Drosophila melanogaster: one gene and its partners. Changing the gene in region 1 together with any one later gene gives a genetic interaction. Each region holds a gene or a part of one and is shown in the gene's direction. Other genes may lie near its edges.

What was found. A genetic interaction does not mean that the proteins touch.
Region 2: of dsh (region 1) and msn, changing one suppresses a phenotype caused by changing the other (phenotypic suppression), as found in Drosophila melanogaster (one study listed by BioGRID).
Region 3: of dsh (region 1) and arr, changing one suppresses a phenotype caused by changing the other (phenotypic suppression), as found in Drosophila melanogaster (2 studies listed by BioGRID).

Annotation. Positions count from the first base shown.
Region 1 is NC_004354.4:11,352,980-11,361,193, forward strand, and holds dsh (dishevelled), read left to right. Parts: upstream 1-2,901; 5' UTR 2,902-3,374; coding exon 3,375-5,246; 3' UTR 5,247-5,745; downstream 5,746-8,214. Other genes in the region: CG1737 (uncharacterized protein), read left to right, coding at 1-1,556; Pa1 (PTIP associated 1), read left to right, coding at 6,350-6,558, 6,625-6,784.
Region 2 is NT_037436.4:2,581,921-2,588,243, reverse strand, and holds the start of msn (misshapen), read left to right. Parts: upstream 1-1,703; 5' UTR 1,704-1,841; exon of another isoform or gene 1,842-1,978; intron 1,979-1,989; exon of another isoform or gene 1,990-2,207; intron 2,208-2,505; 5' UTR 2,506-2,561; coding exon 2,562-2,639; intron 2,640-6,323. Other genes in the region: RpL8 (ribosomal protein L8), read right to left, coding at 1-160, 354-491.
Region 3 is NT_033778.4:13,478,610-13,484,969, reverse strand, and holds the start of arr (arrow), read left to right. Parts: upstream 1-1,740; 5' UTR 1,741-1,815; intron 1,816-2,885; 5' UTR 2,886-3,001; coding exon 3,002-3,194; intron 3,195-6,360. Other genes in the region: cbc (crowded by cid), read left to right, coding at 1-399, 490-997, 1,066-1,183.

The DNA of each region.
Region 1 (8,214 bases):
CATTGTCGAACTCCAATTCGAATTCGATTAGATCCACGCCCGCAACGCGCTCAACTGGCGGTGGTGGTGGCGGCGGCAAGGGTGACGCTAGCAATGATGGGAAAAACGATTCCGAATCGGAGGATATGCCCACATTCACCATTGTAAACATCGATGACATTATCAATCAGGACGATGTGCTCATTTCCAGATCACACACTGCTATGGCCGCTTCCGCAGCTGGCGGTAATTCAATCAAAAAGGTCGCTTTGGGCAGGCCCCGTACCAAGAATATCGGAACCGGCAATTCGGTTGCCGGCGATAAGAAATCCATCACTGTTAACAGCACGCAGAAATCCCTGTCCGCTGCTGTTAACCACAACAATACGACGGCGGGGAATCCAGCCAAGCGCATCAAGATCTTGGCCAGCAACAGTAGTGTCAATACCAAAATGGGACCAGTGCATATCCAGAGTCAACTGCCGAAGCCCCGGCCCAGGATACTCAACGCGGAAATGGGCAAGAAGACGCAGTCGATGAAACCGCTGATGAGCATGGGCAAGGAGCTCTGTCCCACGGACGTCGACACCGAAGAGGACGATCCGGATCCAGATCTCGATTTTGATATCGATAATATACCGGTATCTATTGTTACCCGTAAGAATGCCAATGTCAATGCCAATGCCAAGTCCAAGCAGGTGACGACAACGACGTCGGTGGCGGCGTCGGCGGCGATGACGTCCGCTCCAGCAGCGGTAGCGGTTAACAAGTTGAACAACAATCGGCGCAATGTGCTGTCCACGACAGCGTCGTCGGTGAATGCGCTGATTGCGGACCGGAGGCTGAGCAATCTGCTGGCCGATAACGATGTCCAGCCGGTGTTCAAGAAGCCGAGCCTGGTTCCGCAGCGTCGCAGCAAGGAGAACCAGCAGGAGCAGCAGCGCGACAAGGAGCTGACAACGCTGCGCGAAATATTGCCCACCGGCGGTGGCATCGACGATGCCAACAGTCCCAAATATTTTCCGCCCGAGACCACAACGTTTCACGAGGAGGATGGTCGTGTGGTAAAGAAGATCACCTGCTATGAGACGTGGCATGTGGTTAGCACGGCCAAGGATATGTTGTCGAAGATGGCGCGCCAGCAGCGCACCTGCCTGGAGCTGGCGCTGGTCAAGCTGGCCAATGTGGCGTCACGGATAAAGGTGCCATCGGGCAAATGGACCAGCAAGGTGACGCTGTACAAGGTCTCGCCGTCGATGATGCCCCGCCAGACAATGACCATCTTTACGGGCGATCTCAAGGCGTACAACATACCCGAGGAGGACCGTCACAAGTATCAGCCGTCGTGCGTGCTCTTCCGGCGCGTTGTCGTTGACAAGAACACGTGCCGCGTGCCCTACGATCGGGCCGTCATCTTCAAGAACAAATGCTTCTATGCGAACATCGATGGCAAGCATGTGAATCTGTTGGGTGCCCCCGAGACGGTTGCCACCATCAAGGATGTGGAGATCCTGCTGGATATCGTCGATCGCCTCTCGATCAGCAGCAACATTGTCGAGCTGGTCAACGCTAAGTGAGCGTGGAGGCCTGGTCCATGGTGGCCACAGGAAGAGCACGTATCACATTGTAAAAAATAATTCACACACAGCACTCCCCTCCCCATCCCCATCCCCCTCCCCCATACACATACACAAACAAACAAAGCGGACACTCGATAATTCGTTTTATGCTGTAGTTGTAATAAAACAGATACAAGTTTTTTTTTGTAAAACCATTAACTTAGTTGTAATAGCTAGTGTAGCGTAAATTTATATATATTTATATGTATATATATATATGTATGTATATAAATATATATTAATATATATACACGTATATATAATTATATATTTATATATATGAATATATATATATATATATTTATATAAATTTTTATATATATATATCTCGTATATTATAAACAGCGGACGGACATACATAAATACAAACGGCAGATGTATCTATGTAATATAAACTAAACTAAAGAAAACAATTAATTGTAAAATGCTCGCCCAACTCTCGAAGGGATTGCGAAGTTCCGGGCGGTCGAGGTATATCAATAATGATTTTTATTTTAAATGCGTTGGAATACATAGCCCCCCTCCGCCTTCCCCGCGAGTCCCGCCCCCTTCGAAATCCTTTTTTTTTAAATTGCTATTATCGTAGTCGATTCAATAATATAAAACCGGGCGTACATGTGCCTACGCCCGCGTGGAGGACTAGCCAGTAAGTTAGTCGAGTGTATATCTAAGTGATCCCAATTCAAAGCATACAAATAAAAGAGAAAACTGATTTAAATAACGAGCGCCATTGCGTGATAAATGGCGGGCGGGGTTATCTGGAAATCGGGCAGCTATAAATAAACTGCGGCCAACGCTAGAGATTTTCGTGTGAAAAGCGAAAGAAGATAAGGAACGCAGGCTTCAAGTGGATGGATGGATGAGTTTCCTTGGTCAAGTTTCCATGACAAGGATAAAGACTCTACTTTTAAACAGGACACTCTTCAACTATGCTACATCATTATATGGTAAATTAATACAATTAAGAGTTCAATATAGCTGTAGTTTTAGATTCTACATGTTTTATGTAATAGAAATTGCTATTTTGTTAAATTATAATAAATTTATTGTTTTGAATAAGTATTCAAATTAAACGATATTTATCGATAACTTTGGTATTTAATTTTAAAAGTGTTTGAACTACATTCAAATTGTAAAGCAAATATCGTTAGAGAGAGCATTTCCAATAGAAACTAAATACATTGCAGTTTTTAGTAGTTTTCCATACGCTTTTTCAGAATATTCGTTTGAGAAAATGTTAAGAATGTTCGAATTCGAAAGGGTCTGGCATCGCCGGCAGTGTGACCAACTGCCCGGCGCTTTGGCATTCCGTGCGTGACGAGCGGCTAACACACTGTTTTTTTTTAGTCTCAAAATTCTAACAAATTTATTGATAAACTAGCAATATGCTCGTTTCGCCCTGCCCCCGCTGCGTGCACCGACATTAAAGCGCACCAAATCGTGCTAATGGAGCAATATCAACGCCGTGCAAATCGACGAATTAACAGCCGCCGCTTCCATTGAATCGAAATACCCAGCCCAAAAAAAAGAGAAAGAAAAAGTAAAAGAAACGCGTGCGAGAGCGAGAGGGCTAGAGCGACCAGGGGGAGAAAAGCAAAATCGAGTGAATTTTGTTTGTTGTATCGGCTTTTCCCTGGCTTAATCCCGTTTTCCCTGTGATTTTTCCCCACCAACTTCCCACGCCACCTCCCCACCGCATCCATCGCATTTCGTTTTGATCGCGTTTTATCGCGTCGAGGAGTTTTCCCGTGGATTTCCGCAGTCGGCGCAGCTAAAATGGACGCGGACAGGGGCGGCGGGCAGGAGACGAAGGTGATATACCACATCGACGATGAGACGACGCCGTATCTGGTGAAGATCCCCATTCCATCCGCCCAGGTGACGCTGCGCGATTTCAAGCTGGTGCTGAACAAGCAGAACAACAACTACAAGTACTTCTTCAAGTCAATGGACGCCGATTTCGGTGTGGTCAAAGAGGAAATAGCCGACGACTCCACCATACTGCCCTGCTTCAATGGGCGAGTGGTGTCCTGGCTGGTCTCCGCCGATGGTACCAATCAGTCAGATAACTGCTCCGAGCTGCCAACCAGTGAGTGTGAATTGGGCATGGGTCTGACCAACAGGAAGCTACAGCAGCAACAGCAGCAGCATCAGCAGCAGCAACAACAACAGCAGCAGCAGCACCAGCAACAGCAACAACAACAGCAGCAGCAGGTGCAGCCTGTCCAGCTGGCGCAGCAGCAACAGCAGCAGGTGCTCCATCACCAGAAGATGATGGGCAATCCGCTGCTGCAGCCGCCACCGCTCACATATCAATCGGCATCCGTGCTCTCCAGCGATCTGGACTCGACCAGTCTCTTTGGCACCGAATCCGAATTGACGCTGGACCGCGACATGACCGACTATAGCAGCGTTCAGCGATTGCAGGTGCGCAAGAAGCCGCAGAGGCGCAAAAAACGGGCGCCCAGCATGTCGCGCACCTCCTCGTACAGCTCCATAACCGACTCGACCATGTCCCTAAATATCATTACCGTCTCCATCAACATGGAGGCGGTCAACTTTCTGGGCATATCCATTGTCGGGCAATCGAATCGCGGCGGCGACGGCGGCATCTACGTGGGCAGCATCATGAAAGGCGGCGCAGTGGCACTCGATGGACGCATCGAACCGGGCGACATGATCCTCCAAGTGAACGATGTCAACTTCGAGAACATGACCAACGACGAGGCGGTACGTGTGCTGAGAGAAGTCGTTCAGAAGCCGGGACCCATCAAGCTGGTGGTGGCCAAGTGCTGGGACCCAAATCCCAAGGGCTACTTCACCATTCCGCGCACGGAGCCGGTGCGACCCATCGATCCCGGTGCTTGGGTGGCGCACACTCAGGCCCTCACATCGCACGACAGTATTATTGCCGACATTGCGGAGCCGATTAAGGAGCGTCTGGACCAGAATAACCTCGAGGAGATCGTTAAGGCGATGACGAAGCCGGACAGCGGCCTGGAGATCAGGGATCGCATGTGGCTAAAGATAACGATTCCCAATGCATTTATCGGCGCCGATGCGGTCAATTGGGTGCTGGAGAATGTGGAGGATGTTCAGGATAGGCGGGAGGCGCGAAGGATCGTCTCGGCGATGCTGCGCAGCAATTACATCAAGCATACGGTCAATAAGTTGACCTTCTCGGAGCAGTGCTACTACGTGGTGAACGAGGAGCGCAATCCCAATCTGTTGGGCCGAGGACATCTGCATCCGCACCAGCTGCCGCACGGGCATGGCGGCCATGCGCTTAGCCATGCGGACACCGAGAGCATCACCAGCGACATCGGGCCGCTACCGAACCCGCCCATTTATATGCCATATTCGGCCACGTACAATCCAAGTCACGGCTATCAGCCGATCCAGTACGGCATCGCCGAGCGACACATCTCGTCGGGATCGAGTAGCAGCGATGTGCTGACCAGCAAGGATATCTCGGCGTCGCAGAGCGACATCACCTCGGTGATCCATCAGGCCAACCAGCTGACCATCGCCGCTCATGGCTCTAACAAATCATCCGGCTCCTCCAATCGGGGCGGCGGCGGAGGCGGTGGCGGTGGCGGCAACAATACCAACGATCAGGACGTATCCGTATTTAATTACGTATTGTAGAAACCTTTCTTTTTGCAATCAAATTGTGTTTTTAATTAATTAAATTAAATATGTACGATTATTCTTTTTTATATACGAGTATACAAAGCAAGCAAACAGCAAACCACAATATAATAATTATAATTATAATAATAATAATAATAATAATTATAATAATAATAATAATACTTATGTATATGTATGGTATGTGTAAGTCATAGAAAAGAACGCTAAACACCCAGCCGCAACGAGTCAAGGATCAGCGAGGGCTCGTGAGGCAGCAGGAGGATCAGCACAGGGATATCCGTGTCCGGCAGCAATCGGTTGTGGACCCGATCAGATCAGATCAACTGAGATATATGATATATGATATATATATATATATATATATATATATATATATGGATGATGCGGAGCGGAGCGGAGGAGCAGGAACGGCAGCATGACGGGCGAGAATGATTTTGAATAAAGTTCTAAGAATTTAGTAATCACAAAGTAAATAAATACAAATAAAATGAATAATCGATGGCTTTTCCATATGCATGAGATTGGTTTCTTTAACGCATTTTAGCTGTTTTCAAGTGCAAATCAAATTGCCAAGAAGACTTTTAAAATATTCCTAAAACATATTAGCGTTTGTTCGTAATTTGAGGAATATACATTAAAAAGGAAGTCTAATTTTTGTTAGTTCTTATTTCTTTGTACAGATTAACAATATTTAAACACATACTTTCCATCCTAAAAAGTAAAAGTCTCAACAAGATAATATTGTTCTTCCCCCTAAACCAAACAATGCGCCATCGAGAACAATCCTCGAAGTTGTGTGCACTCGGAGCGGAAACATTCCGGGCATGGGTGTGCACTTAATAAAGAAGAGAATAATGAAACCTATAAATAGAAAATCCATTTCGAGCAGCAAATGTGTTCAAATCAACCGCCCAGCTCGGACACTTTGCAACACTAAGCCCGAAAATCGATAGCAACGAACGTTCGATAACTGTTCGATAAGCACGCCAAAGCAAACTATCGCTTTCATTCCAGAAAGGTCGCGAAACCAATAGGTTCTATTGTGGAAAGAAACGCAAATTTCCAGTTCATTTGGATTGTTTAAATCCGAGAAAACGATGGCAACGGATGTGGAGCCGGCGGCGAATACGGCGGACAAGTTCTCCGCCAACGCGGAGGAGCTAGAGGGCTACTATCTGATGCTGGAGGCGGGAAATATTCCGGAACTGCAATGGCAATTTCCGGGACGCAGGGCTCCATCGCCGGAGGCGGGATCTGGCGGCAATAGCAAGGAACTCGAACAGGCCACCGACGCCATTGAGCAGGAGTAAGAACAAGTGCAGCACCATCCGAAGGTTAACATAACTTATGATTGATTTTCGTGTCCCCGCAGACCGCAGAAGGCCAACGACTTTGATTTCAGCGACGATGTGGCCCCCACCCAGATGCGCGTCCGCAGCCAGACGTCCACGCCCAAGTCGGCCAAAAAGAAGACGGCCAACTTCGCCGGCGTCATGGAGACGCTGAAGAAGAAGAATGCCGAGAGCTCATAGCACCCGCCGAAATTCTGATGCTGATCCGGTCCAGGCAATCGGCTGCAGATCGTACTCTATCGCCATGCGGACTAGTCTATAAGCATCAGTCGTTTTACAACCATCGACAGGATGGGCTGTGGAGCTCTGCTGCAAATCGCATTAATGTAAGGATTTAGAGAGAGTTTGAACTTCAATTTACTTAAGATTTAAATTACCATACTTATAGTTAGCATTTAGAGAGTTTGAAGTTTGAACATCAAAACATAAGCTTATTATGACTTATTAGTCAGCATCTAGAGAGGAAGTTTAAACATCAAAACATAGGCATATTATGACTTAATTACCATATTCATGTGACTAGCTTGTAGCTTAAATTGCAGCAGTCTTTGGAATTCTAAAAAACTTTGTGAACCAACAAGTTGCAACTCAGAGAAGTTTGAACTTCAATTACCATATATGCATAACTAGCTGTTAAGGATGTTAACTCCCATTGCATTGGTCAGTTCTTCATTTTAGACTAAGAACTTGTAATTGAGAAGATAGCATAGAACTAATCAACTTATGTTTAAGCAGAGGGATGTGTATGTGATCCTTAATTAGCACGTGGGAAATTTACGTTCTAAATGTTAATTGTCTTTATTTGATATATTATGACAATATTCTTGATAGTATTGTCCGAAACCGACGTTTGAAGACTAGAATATAGAATATAGGATAGAACGGATGTAAATTTAAATCCAATGCGAGTAAAGCAGATAACAAGATAGGCAACTGTAGATCAGTCAACTTCTGTACATAAAAGAACTGAATTTCACTAATAGCTGTTAAAACTAGAATATAGAATGTAGGATAGAACGGATGTACATTTAAATCCAAGATGAGTAAGATAACTATTTAGTAAGGCAACTGTAGATCAGTCAACTTCCGTACATACAACTAATACGAAATGAATCAGCACAGTTGCCCTACTAAACAATATCAACTTCTCATGAGCTAAAAATAGACTACTAAGAATTATGATAAGCCAAGGTTGTTCCGGAAAACGTAACTCCATCCCTTTCGTTTTCGTAGAAAAACCTTCTATATATAATGACATCATTATATGATGTTATGTGTAGATTAGAATTCCCATATGCTGCTAACCTAATGGTTCGCAGTTAATAAAAGTTAGCATTTAAACACGTAAGAAAATTGATTTATTTCGGAAATATCCTTTCTCGTTAACAGCAATAATAAGTTATTGTGCCTGCGGGTGTGTGGTTGTGCATATACCGGCTTGTATAGTGGCTTGTATAGCTTGTAAATATATAATTCGTTTCTGTTTCGAAGTATTGTAGGTTAAAATGGCATTTGATCAACATTAATTGACATACCTTACGACTATATGTGCACATGTTACTTTTTTTTTTTTGCGTAGATTAGGCGGTTCGACTTAGTCGCCGAACAGA
Region 2 (6,323 bases), on another chromosome or scaffold:
TGCCGATCTGAAGGGTGGCCTTGCGGCCGCAGTACACGAACTGGCCGGTGTGCATGCCCTCGGGGGCGATGAACAGCTCCTTGCGGATCTTGTAGCGGTAGGGGTCGCGGAAGTGGACGACGGCCAGAGGAGCGCCACGGCCGGGATCGTGGATGATGTCCTGAAACATGGAAGAAGTACGATTCGCTTAGTTACACTTCAAAAGCAGTTAAGCCAAGTGAGCTAAGTAACTTCTAGTAAGCTGGCACAGGTGCTCAAGCACGTCTCTTGAATGTGGCATGGCCAAATGCAAGTGATCTCATCCACATTAAACGGATAGGTGTAGTTGGTGATCCTAGGAGCACGTTACTCACCTTGACAACTCCGCGGATGTAGCCGGAACGCTCGGCGAAGTCCAGGGAACGCAGCTTGGCGGCTCCCTTGCGCTTCTTCACGTGCGCCTTGAACACGGAACCAGCTCCCTTACGCTGTGCACGAATAACGCGACCCATTGCTGCAAGACAAATTCACGGGATTAGTACTCGAACTCCATATTGCAAATGCGGCGGTTTCACTAAATAAGATGGCCATCTTCAATGCAACACGCTACGGAATTTCGATCTTATTCGAATATTTTGACGGAAAATTGAAATATTCCATGTTACACGGTTATAATGTTAAATTGCGCACTGTAAACAATTTCCGCAATTGAAAACACCACCAAATTTACAAAATTTAGCACGTGGCTTACCGTAAAATTAAAATTGCCCAATACGACCACTCCGGAAACGGGGCGAAAAGAAAAGAAAAGAGGAAGACATCCTAGAGGTGGGCAGGGAATAGTGTGGCTGTGTTTGGCGTCTGGCGTCGTGACTAACGTGCTGCTGGGGAAAGAGCTGTTTCTCACTGCTATTTTGGGTATTCGCGAAATTGTTAATTTGCTAATAATAATAAATAAAATAATAAAATTTATCATATTAAATCTTCAAATTCAGTTTTCGGAAGTTTTACTAATCAGTAGCTCACTTGCCCAGAAAATTTGGTTTGATTTCAATCTTCGCAAGGTCAATTTCGCTGAAATCTGCTTTACCTAATCGAAACGTTTCTAAACTGGATAATTTTAATATAAGTTAATCGATTTTATATATGTATATAATAATTCAATTAGATGTATGAATAATTCGAGTTGAGCTGGAAAGTTGTGTCGAGCACTTGCCAATTGGATGAGAAGTGAAAAAGGCGACCCAATCAGAAATAAAATAGAGAGTGAAAAGAAACCAGTGGAAATATTCCGAAGCCGAAAGATATTTTGGACTATGCTATGCGTTCCACTGGCGTACATTTTTAGACGTCTTTATTTAACACATCTAATCTTCGACCATACATATCTTATTCTTATATTCCAATTCTGATTATTATATAACTTTAATAGGAAATGACTCAACGATTTGTGTTACCCTATGAAATAAAATATTAAATATGTTAATATTTTTTATTTTCCCAGCCTCTTTTTTCTAATTGGAATTAGTAAATGTCTATAATCTAATTTATTGATTACAGTTGCAAATTTGTTAATTTGCTATTCTGAAAGAGAAGAATATACGGGCACACGAATTGGCCTTTTACGGCTCGATATGTTTGCGGTATGTGCGCAGAAATGAGAACGGTAATCGCGGGGTATTTTTCAGTTCGCGATGGAATAAGCTGCCATCGGCTAATTGGTCACACTGTTGGAATCCGTCGGGGTTTTGGCGTCGCGTAAAACGGAAAACCGTTCTGATTTTCACTGAAGTTGGGAAATTGAACTGTTCAGCTGGTTGTGCGATGCAAAGGCGATAGGCGCCCATCGCTGTGCGTGAAGAGTACGTATTCGCGGTGCGCCAGTGAAAATCGCGAGTCCTGCGCGAGAACGCAAAACGCAATCGGGAGGAAAAAGCGAGTGGCAGATTTTTTCTGTCTACCTACACAAACACATACGCAGGCTACTGCACTGGTGTGGGTGTGTGTGTGAGGCTGGTCCATCGGAGCGCCGCAAAAAAAATATTGAAATTGTGCAGTGTGTGCGAAGTAGCAGATGAATCGGCAGTGATAAATAAATGGTTTAAGGGCGAGAAAAGATTTTATAAAGTGCTGGGGAATTAAAAGAGCCGCGCCCCGTTTGCCAAACGTTAACTAACACACACAAACACTCCGTCACAAAACACACATACGCACGCAGAGCCAGAGCAGTGAGAAAGAGAGATGGAGAGAGACAGAGAGCGAGAAGAAGAGCGGAGAAGCGAAAAGAGAAAAGTTGTATGACAGCAACAAATAGTTTGTTAATTGCACGGGTTTTTTATTGTGGCATTTGTCATTTAGAGCGTATAAATCTTAAATCGCGGTAAAGTGCGTATAAATCTAAAATCGCAGTAAAGTCCTGCGGCCGCTCCTTCTCCACTCTATTTCTCTCCCCGTTGTTTTGTCCCCTCCCCCCGTTCACCGTCTTATTTGCATTTCTCCTCTCTCCACCTCTTTCTGCGTGCGAAGAATCAGCAGCAGCAATTCTCCAGATCCAGAAGAACAAAATAAAATAGCAAATCAAAATGGCGCACCAGCAGCAACAACAACTGGCTCCATCGGTCAACTGTTCACTGGACGATATCGATCTGACGGCCCTAAAAGTGAGTCAATAAGCTGCGGTTATCCATCTCGAATGGAAATGGAATACGACTAGAAATAGAACCAGCAGCAGAGCCCCCCGAAAATAGAGCCCCCACATTGCCCCCTCCCCATCAGCTATATTCATTAACAAGCCTCGCCCGATTAACGGGAAAGTGACCGCCCCGTGATTATTTTCCCAGGTGTGGTCGTTTACACTCCAATTTCCGTTCGTTATTTGTTAGTTCGATTTCACAAACTATTTACACTATCTGAAAGGTTTCACAATCGATTAGTTTCAAAAAGATGTAAAATATACCGAGATGCAACCAATACGAATTCTTTTTTTTTGATATTATGATGAATTTTTTATTTTATATTCCTGCAATTCGCAAAGAAGCCCCTTTACTCAGAACTTGGTTCCAAAAATACCCCACAATATCTTACCCAACTCGATTGGCCTTTCCAGTCGTCAAACCCTCGAAGGTTTCCCCCGCACATTTATGCAAATTGTTTAAAAGTACAACAAAAGCGAGTTCTTTTTCTTTGTGTTCTTCCTTTTTTGCACTTTGCCATGGCAACGAAAAAAGGTTTTTTTTTCTGGATTTCCGTTCTCCCCCTCGAAGCAATCACAATAATAATCGAGTTGATAACTGCACATTGACATTTCGATTTCATTGCCTGACAAAAAACCACCCAACTTGGCACCACCCACCCTGTAAGTTTTGAATGTGAGAGTGGTGTGCGCAACTTTTGACCGGCCGGTGCCACCTTCTCCGCTTTGCCAAGCTATTTTTTGTTTCGCTTCGTTTCTCAATGAATTTGTCGAGTCTTAACCCCCTTTCGGCCGCCTTAGCACCCCCCTTTAACCCCCCTGTGGCCGCACGCACTGCCGCATGCGTTTGTTGCCTTTCTCTTTCACCAAACATTCACCACTCTCAGCACTTTTGGTGGCGGAACGGAACTCACCACGCCCGCCGGCCCCACGTTGGGCGCCATCTCTTTTGCTTTGCGCACCCACCGAAAGTTCAGTTTGGCACAAGTGTGTGTGTGAGTGTCCGTTTGTTGACTCTGCCTGGATGTGGTGGGTGGTGGGGGGGGGGTCAATGTGGAGTGGGCTGGTGGTGGTGCTTGGGTCGTCGCCTCGCTGCTACGGCATGTGCGCCGCTGTGGTTGTGTGTGTGCTTCACCCACAGATGAGGCCAAAATAATAGGCTTTAAGGCGGCCTTAAAAAAGGGATGTTCCGTGAAGTTCTATAAATTAAGTTAGCACTAAAAATCTGGAGTCAAATTTAAGAGATCACAGCATTAGTTTGGGAAGAGTTTTAGTTGGCTTTCGTACGGATAATATTACTTGTTTGTTCGTATACATGAAAATATACATATACAAACAAGTGTATTTTTCGGATTAAAGGCTCATTGCCGATTGACTTATATTCACAGTTCTTTTGAGTAGAACGAGGCTCCGCAGGCACTATTATTGTAGCCCCAACTGTTAACCCGTGTGTGTTTATGAAAAATTGTTCATAGTCGATGCAGAGCGACGAAGACGAGACAAAAACGAGACAAGAATGAAAATTGTTTAGTTTACTTTATTAAAAGGCGGCAGGCAGAAGCGAGCAGAGCAACACCATGCGTGCTTTTGTATCTATGCGAGTCGCATGTATCTGAATCGCTGTGTGTGTTTGTATCTGCGCTGCAGCAGACAGCTTGAAGATGGCGATAATGTGGACTCAAATGATAATGATGATGAAAACGATGATTAAGATGGGGCACACACACAACACCGGCTGCCAAGAAAAGCGGCGACGAACCCAAAGCAAAATCAGCAAAAATGGCAGCAGGCATGAGAATCATGAATTGTGATGTGTGTCTTGTTTGAAGTGTTGTTTTTATTTTTGTTTTATTTCTGTTTGGCCTTCTCCTCTCGGTGAGGGGCGCTAAAGTGGGCGTGGACGTGGGCGGCCCCTCGCCTGCATGTCTGCCATATTCCGGTGACCTGTCTGTGCGTGGCTTTTAAAGGTCATTAAACACAATGGCCGAGAGAAGAGAGATGCGATAGCTGTGGAATGTCCCGAAATAGAAAACGACAAAAGGTCAGAGTCCTTAAAGCTAAGGTTCTTTCTCTCGAAACTGGCTCGCTTTGTTAGGCTTCCGTTCTGGTTTCTGTTCACTCGATAAGAACTCCACTCCCCTCCACTCCTTGTGTCTGATAAGATACCACAAGCTGCATTCATCAGCACAAATTTCATTAATTATTTCTGGTTTTTACGACTCCCCATTTATTTGTATTTGGTGCAGTTTCTTTTATTCTCCACTGATAAGCATTCAAACGCGGTTCGTCTTCATTTTGGTGTGGCTTCCACTTCTTTATGTGTATTTCACTCGCATGTGCACTGAAAGAAACCGATCTTCAATCAGTAATGTTTAGTATCTAGGATAAACAAAGGGCTGATCCAACAACTTGGTTCTGAAGAATTCACGAGGTGGGCTTCTTCTTTTAAGTGGCACTATACTGCGTTTTAAATTTAACTTCATTATTTTAAATCTCTTTCTTCGCAGTGTGTGTTTATTTTAATCAACATTTATTGCATTTCGTTAGCTGCGATAAAAACGTGTTCGCCCACATTTGTTCGGTTTGTTCCATGTGTCCGTCTGCGCTGCAATTTGCTCTGAGGAGTGGAAAAAATCGAAATATCCACACATGTTTCAGTTTTTGTGGGTTAAATCAACATTGGGCCCGGTCCCCGGGAAAATACTTTTTATAAAGTTCAGGAAGAGGCATCTCTTCGCAATCGAACGTGTGTTTATAGAAGCAAATTTCCCCGGGGTGTTGGGAAATCATTTTGTTTTCCATGTGGATCTGTGGAAATCGCTAGTTAAATAATCAGCTCTAATCAGAGTTGGCTCATGTGCTGATACCCGAAAAGTAGGTAAATGGGCTTCGTGACGTCAGCTGAGTGCATTCCTAATCGAATTGGCCACGCGACCCACACGAATTAAGCCAACAAAGAGAAATAGTTTGGGTCACTGCGAAAAAATAGTACACACAGTTGGGCAACTTAACTTGGGATTAAAAATCAACTAAACCAAATCCAAGAAAACACTCGTTTCAAAAATATAAGTATTTCAACACAGTTTTCTAGTTCTAATTGGAATGTTTTCCAAGGTTTACCACATTTTTTCCTAGTGCAGCCACTGCATCTGCATAAGCCAGCTCGATTGAATTGCATGGGCGTCCTAATATGCAGTCAGTCCTGTTTTAAGCCACTCTCCTGCTCTTTGCATTTTTTACTGCTAACTGGGCCAAGCCTTTTGCAGGGGAAACGGGCCAACTGGTGGAGGGGTGCGGGGGTAGTTCTGCGCTTTTAGACAAACAAAGCAAAACAAAACAACTCAAAAAATTCCAGTTTGCCAGGCCAAGCAAACTGTAGTAATGAAGCAACTAGCCAAAGAGACTGACGGCGACAAACTTCTGTTAAAAGACAGGGATTTGCCGATTAAGAAAATGTATTTAATATAAATCTAAAGGACTTAAACATTTAGACTATAATACTCATCCCAAACGCAATAATCACACTTCTTTATATTTCATTCTGTATTACATGGATAAACCAAGTTTTATCTATAAAAAAAAACATATTTATTTGATGTATTTTTTTTTTTGGAAATCAGATTGAAATCTATAGTCTTACAATATCAAAGGT
Region 3 (6,360 bases), on another chromosome or scaffold:
CGCCAATGGTGCAGTACGTCAACTGTCATGCGGCACTGGAGCAGTTCCGCATGGAGGCCGAGGAGAAGGATCGCTACGGACCAGTGGCCATGGTCGTCGGTCCCATGGACGTGGGCAAGAGCACTCTGTGCCGCATCCTGCTTAACTATGCTGTGCGCGTGGGTCGTCGACCGCTGTACGCCGACCTGGATGTTGGACAGGGCTCGATTGCCATTTCCGGGAGTGTGGCCACCATTCTCATCGAGCGACCGGCGAACGTTGAGGAGGGATTCGCCAAGACAGCGCCGCTGGTCTATCACTTTGGCCATAAGTCTCCCAGCGGAAACAGCGTGCTGTACAATGCCGTGGTTTCCAAAATGGCAGAGGTAACACTGCAATCTCTGAATAGCAACAAGCGAAGTAAGTTGGGAAGGTGTAACACATATCTTTGCACTTTTCAATACATTTTCCCGTTCATAAACTGCAAATTTCTGCATCTGCTTTTTGCAGCAAAAAGCTCTGGCATTATTATAAACACTTGTGGCTGGGTAAAGGGATCCGGCTACGCGCACCTGTTGCACGCGGCCAAAGCCTATGGAGCCTGTGCCATCTTTGTTCTGGACCAGGAGCGACTATACAACGAGCTGCTTCGAGATGTTCCCAAGGGAGTTCATGTGGTACTGCTGCCCAAGAGCGGCGGCGTCGTCGAGCGCAGCAAGGAACTGCGACACGAGGCGAGGGATCAGCGCATCAAGGAGTACTTCTACGGCAATACAAGGGCGCCCTTCTATCCGTTCAGCTTCGAGGTGAAGTTCCAGGACCTGCGACTCTACAAGATCGGCGCACCGCCGCTGCCCGACTCCTGCATGCCAATTGGAATGAAGGCGGAGGACAACAAGACCAAGGTGGTGGCGGTTACACCCACGCCCGCCCTAATCCATCATGTGCTGGCCCTCAGCTTTGCCGAGTCCGTGGAGGACGATGTGATTGGCACCAATGTGGCCGGCTTTTGTTGCGTGTAAGTGCTGCTGAACCTAAACTAGATATTATACTAGTTATATATGATTGTTATTTGATTATCCTCAGAACCGAAGTGGATATGGAAAGACAGGCAGTGATGTTGCTTTCGCCGCAGCCGCGACCTTTGCCCCCGAACGCCCTGCTCCTGTGGTCGGAACTGCAGTTCATGGATAATCATACCTAGCATTTGTAAATGCTCTGCTCTAGATGTAATTTAAGAAATTTTATATTAATGTTGGCGTTACAAAAAATACAGTTTAGATGTGCAAGTAGTAAACTTAAAGTTTTCCACAAGTTTAACAACTGAAATAACATTTAATAACATTTTGCAAAAATTAATTAAGTTTTGCTATAAAAGAATAGAACATATATCAAACAAATATTGTAATTTCTGAAAATTGAAAACTATTATAATTAATTATAACTATACAAGAATATAATATTCAGTATATGTATTGTATGTGTATGTATGTATTATTATGTGTTTCTTATAACCACTGAAAAAGGGTTTTGTAAAAATTGCATTTGAATATATTTGCAATGTGCATTTTTCGCCATTTGGTAAAATTATGTAATTCTATTCGAAAATAATTCAAACAAAATGGTGTTCTAAATTTTTTTAGCAAGGTGTGCAACCAAACGTCTACTCTACTTCCAGTATATTTTTGGTATATTTAGAACACTCAATTGGTAATATTTAGGCAAATTAGGTGCAGCCATACTGACGGCTGCGTACGTCGCCTCAGTGCGGTCACACTGTTCGAAAGAGCGAGACGAAAAACACGGCAACACGGCGGACGGAAAACTCAGTGAAAAGTAAATCAAATATTTACAAAACAAAGTAACCACAAAATGGCTGCGCTCGGTCGAATTGCGTTGGTTTAACAACAAATAGCGATGAAACGGCGACGATTAATACACTTTCAACGGGCATAAACCATAGATACTGTGGAATTTGTCGTGCTTTTCGTGTTTGTTGTGCAGCATGCGAGATGTTGCTGATGTTGTTGTTGGAATGTGTATCAAATGGTTCTAAAAACAAAACAAGAGATTTTCGGGCATCTAAATTTACGGCCTGCTTGAAAGACGTTCTGTTTTCCCCCAGTGTGTGTGTGCGTCTGTGCATGTGTGCGCGTGTGTTTGTGTGTTTTCTTCTCACTTGCTCTCTGTTGCTGCTGCATTTTCCAGCGGCAAACGGCGTTTGTTTTGGTTGCGTCGTGAAATTTTCCACTGGAAAGTGCAGCGCTGCGCCTTTCTGGGGGTTGCACACACACGCGCACGCACCGCAATTCGTCGATTGCCGGCTTGTTGCGCCGTAGAAGCGGCGGCAAAAGAGGTTCCCTAATTACCCAGAGTCACCTTATCACTTACAGTATTTCAATTTGGCGACCAGTTGATCGGAGGGGGTGATGGCGGTGTGGTGGCCCTCACACAGTTGCACAATTGCTTATCACTCGCTACTTAACGACAACAACAATTGGTGGCTCGCACACATGCAAACAAGACGATCACACTCGTCAACAAAGAAGCGGGAAACTCAATTGAAAGACTGAAATAACAACAACATAAGCAACAGCTAGCTTACACTACGCAACAAAAGTGCGAGCACGAGGAACTAAAAGTTATTAACTCACTAGTGATCAAAACTGAAATAAATTTGAATTGTATTGTAGTCATAACAGTTGAACCAATATTAATCTATTAAAAAAGATACGTAGAAAGTAAAACAAAAATCCTAAAACCTATTTACTAACAGGCATAACTCTGCAAATACTGTTGTAACTACAAACGAGAGTTCAAAACAAGGGTGTTATTTGATACCCTAGGGAGTGAAAGATTTTCGAGAGCGACCTGTTTTCAAACCTCCCTCTCCCTTCCACTTGCAGTTTTTCCGTGTGATTACCATGTGCGCCTAACAAAAGACAAACACGATCGGGTCGCGTCATCTGTTGTTTTTGCGCCAAATGTCTTAAAATTCCGGAGATAGTGCTTCCAAAATAAGATGGCTCTCGAGCCATACACAAAGTCTGCTGAAATCGAACCTCAATTGTGCCAAGTTATAGATAATAATGAAGATGTGACAACGAAAGCGACGAAATGCACGAAATCTAACAGCGGAGTGGGCTGGCGACAAATGCTGATCGGCTTTCTACTGATTTGCTTTGGCATCTCAAACAGTTGGCAGTACAAAAATGGTAAGTTCTGTGCTTTCATTTCGAACAAAGGGCAACGGTTTTGCCAAAGGAGCTGGGAACTGACAAGCATTTGATGGCAGTTCGATTAATTTGACGAGTGGCGAGGGCTTTGAGTTCAAAAAACCGCAGGGATAGACAGTTTGTAATGGGAATGGGGGTTCGCTGATATCGTTCCTCTACTTTCCTCAAAGGCTTTTGTACTACAGGTATCGCTCGCTAATGTGAACCAACGTAGTTGCGTGATTCCCAAGTGATTGAATTATAAATTGAGAGTGTTTAGTCTCAAATCAATATTTGATATTTATATTTATTGGTCAATATTCATTTTAAATAGTTAATTTAGCAAAATTTCAATATGTACATCAAAAATTACTATTCAGATAGAATATTTACTTAATAGTATAGTTCCTTATTTCAATGATTCACTGAATTTAAAAGCTTAAAATCCCATAGATAAAATATGAGTAACTGAACTGCATTTCAGGCATGTTGCCTGTTCGAGTGCCCACTGTATGCGTTTGTTTATGTGGTTTCAACTGCACTTTTGAGCTTCCCGCTCCCCGCCCCTCGCCCAGCCTTTTAGCCCCTTCCTTTGCCGCTTTGCGTTTTCCTTTAAGCTCTTTTTCGTGTTGTCAAAGCCCAAAGGCTGACAATTTCTCGGCGCAATGCTTTTATGAATAAACAACTACTACTTATTTAGACTGTAGTACGCACTCAACTTGATTGCACTGCGCATAATTTAGTACCCCCTTCTTCATCTACTTCTACTCCTACGACTACTACAACTCTGCGGCCCCACCAAACACTTTTCCACTAGATGCGACGCTAATGAGCTGAAAAAAGCAGCTCACTAATAATTCAGCAGTTGTAATATGGCAAAGTTGCCCGGTAATTGCCGGCATATTTCAAAATGCACAAAGCATTGACCCAGGCTCAAAAATTATACACTCAGAAAAATGTTCAGTTCTCATCAATTAAATCTTGTATAACTTGTACATTATTTAAAATCTAATGGTAAATCGATAGATCCACTCTATATGAACTGTTCTGTTGGGAATCATATGTAAAGTTAAGATATGAAGTCTGTAAGAGGAACTTACAAATTTCGTGGGCTGAAACAGTTCTTCTATAGATTAATATTGCATGACTCCTTGAAAGTTTTTCTCAGTGCAGCTTCAAAAAAGGGGCTCAAAGGACTGAAGTAGAAGGGACCTGCACGGGACAAGTCAATATGGAAATAGCAAATGGACAAAGGCCGTCCAAACATCGTTAAGCCCCAAAAACGCTCGAGTGTTTGGCTGAAAGATAAGCCTTCGGATTCTTCGTTTTTTTATTTTTTTTTTCCGGCTCTCTCCTTCAGTTGCAATCCGAAGTTTTTTCGGAGTCCGGAATTGCGAGTACTCCAGCATGCATGGGGGCATCCACAAAGCAAGTGCCGCCGCACCGAAAAGGAAGCCCGAAAACTTAAATTTGTCGAGCCGGGTGGGAGGAAAAAAAGCGCATCAAATATGTACACAAAGCTCCGGAAAAAAAACCCCATCTTCCATCATTCCCGGCCAGCTCTCTGTCGTGTGTGGGTGGTGTGTGGGCGGCTGGTTGGATGCTTACTTTCTTTAACACTTTGACGCGCGCACAAAGTGTTTTTTGCCAGCGTTGATTTGCCGCCCATGCCACCCATGCCATCCATGCCACCCATGCCACCACTTCCACACTACCCACCGGCCACCCAGTTCTTCTTTAAACCTTGTTCTTTTTTGCAGCTAACTGACGTTTTTGCGCGCTGCTGTCATGCCGTGTGGGGGATTCCCCCTTTTTTTTGGTCCCTTTACGTAAGCGCTATTTGCTTTAGCTTCTATTTACTACGCCGTAGTAACGCCAGTTTAGTAGTAATGGGAGCACTTCAAAGGCGACGGCGCCTTTGACGCCACATCCACCGCCCACTGACGGCATCCTGCCAGCCAGTCATCCTGCCATCCTGGCTGACATCCTTTGCGTCCCCGCGGGACACTCGACATTTCACTGTTGTTGACATTGATTTTGATTTCATTTATGTGTGCACCATTTCCACTTTCAACTTTCCAACAGCCAGCTTGACATTGGCTTAGGAATGTCAGTCAACACTTGATACACTTTGTCTTTCCTCGCGGGATTTGCCTAGGAAGCATTAGTCGCTAGTATTTCCCAATTATCCAATTAAAAATGCCCAACTCAATTAGTCATGCGTGAATTTCAGTTTATTCGTTGCAATTAAAATCTTAATTTGATGTTTAGCATACTATCAGAATGTTAACTATTGCATGAACTAGTTTAATTATATAAATGAAAGTGATTTTCATAAGTAAGCTGCCAAAAGAAAACAGTCTAAATAGCCTTTAGCAAAGAATCATTTCAAATTTACTGTCTGTAGAAAATAAGATTTTGGACAAAGATTAATGCAATTATTTTAATTGGGTTTCTATAATCTGTTTAAAGCTTTTCACAATCCGTACAATGGCAATTATGCCAATGTAATATGGTTATAATTCCCTGAGCTGTTTTACAGTTTAAAATCGTACCTAATTTTGCATAATTATAAACATACTAACACCAAATGAGCTCATGAATTGCAATTAATCAACTAAACCTTTAATCATACTATTCAAAGCTCGGTTAAACTTTCCACAACTGGCAGCTTGTTGATTTAGTTTGCTATGGAAATGCATAGCTGTTAAACAGCTTCCTCTCAGTTATTGCATCCGAATATCTGCTTAAACTTAAGCCCAATGAAACGCTTCAAACGAACAGCAAACACAATTGGGCTTTAACTAACCCAATCATCCTGGGAGCCATCTGCATTCCGTATGCAAACTGCTAAAACCAATGGCAAACTCTCGGTCCGCCGGCACAAATGTATCACTTTGCAATTTAAACAATAATGTTGTGGTGTGGTCAGTCTGGCGTTTGTGTAATGCATCTGTGTTGCATGCCCGGCAGTTCGGTTGCATCCACATCATCATCGCATCATGGCATCATCCTGCTCATCAACGCGACGAACGCCCTACTCCGACCACAGATTTGTGTGTGTGGGCGGGTTGGTCTGGCACTGACCTCTGTGTGTTGGCTGATACGGCTGTGCGTATTGCGTATATATTACACAGAGAAAAATAATCTAATTTATTAGTTTTAT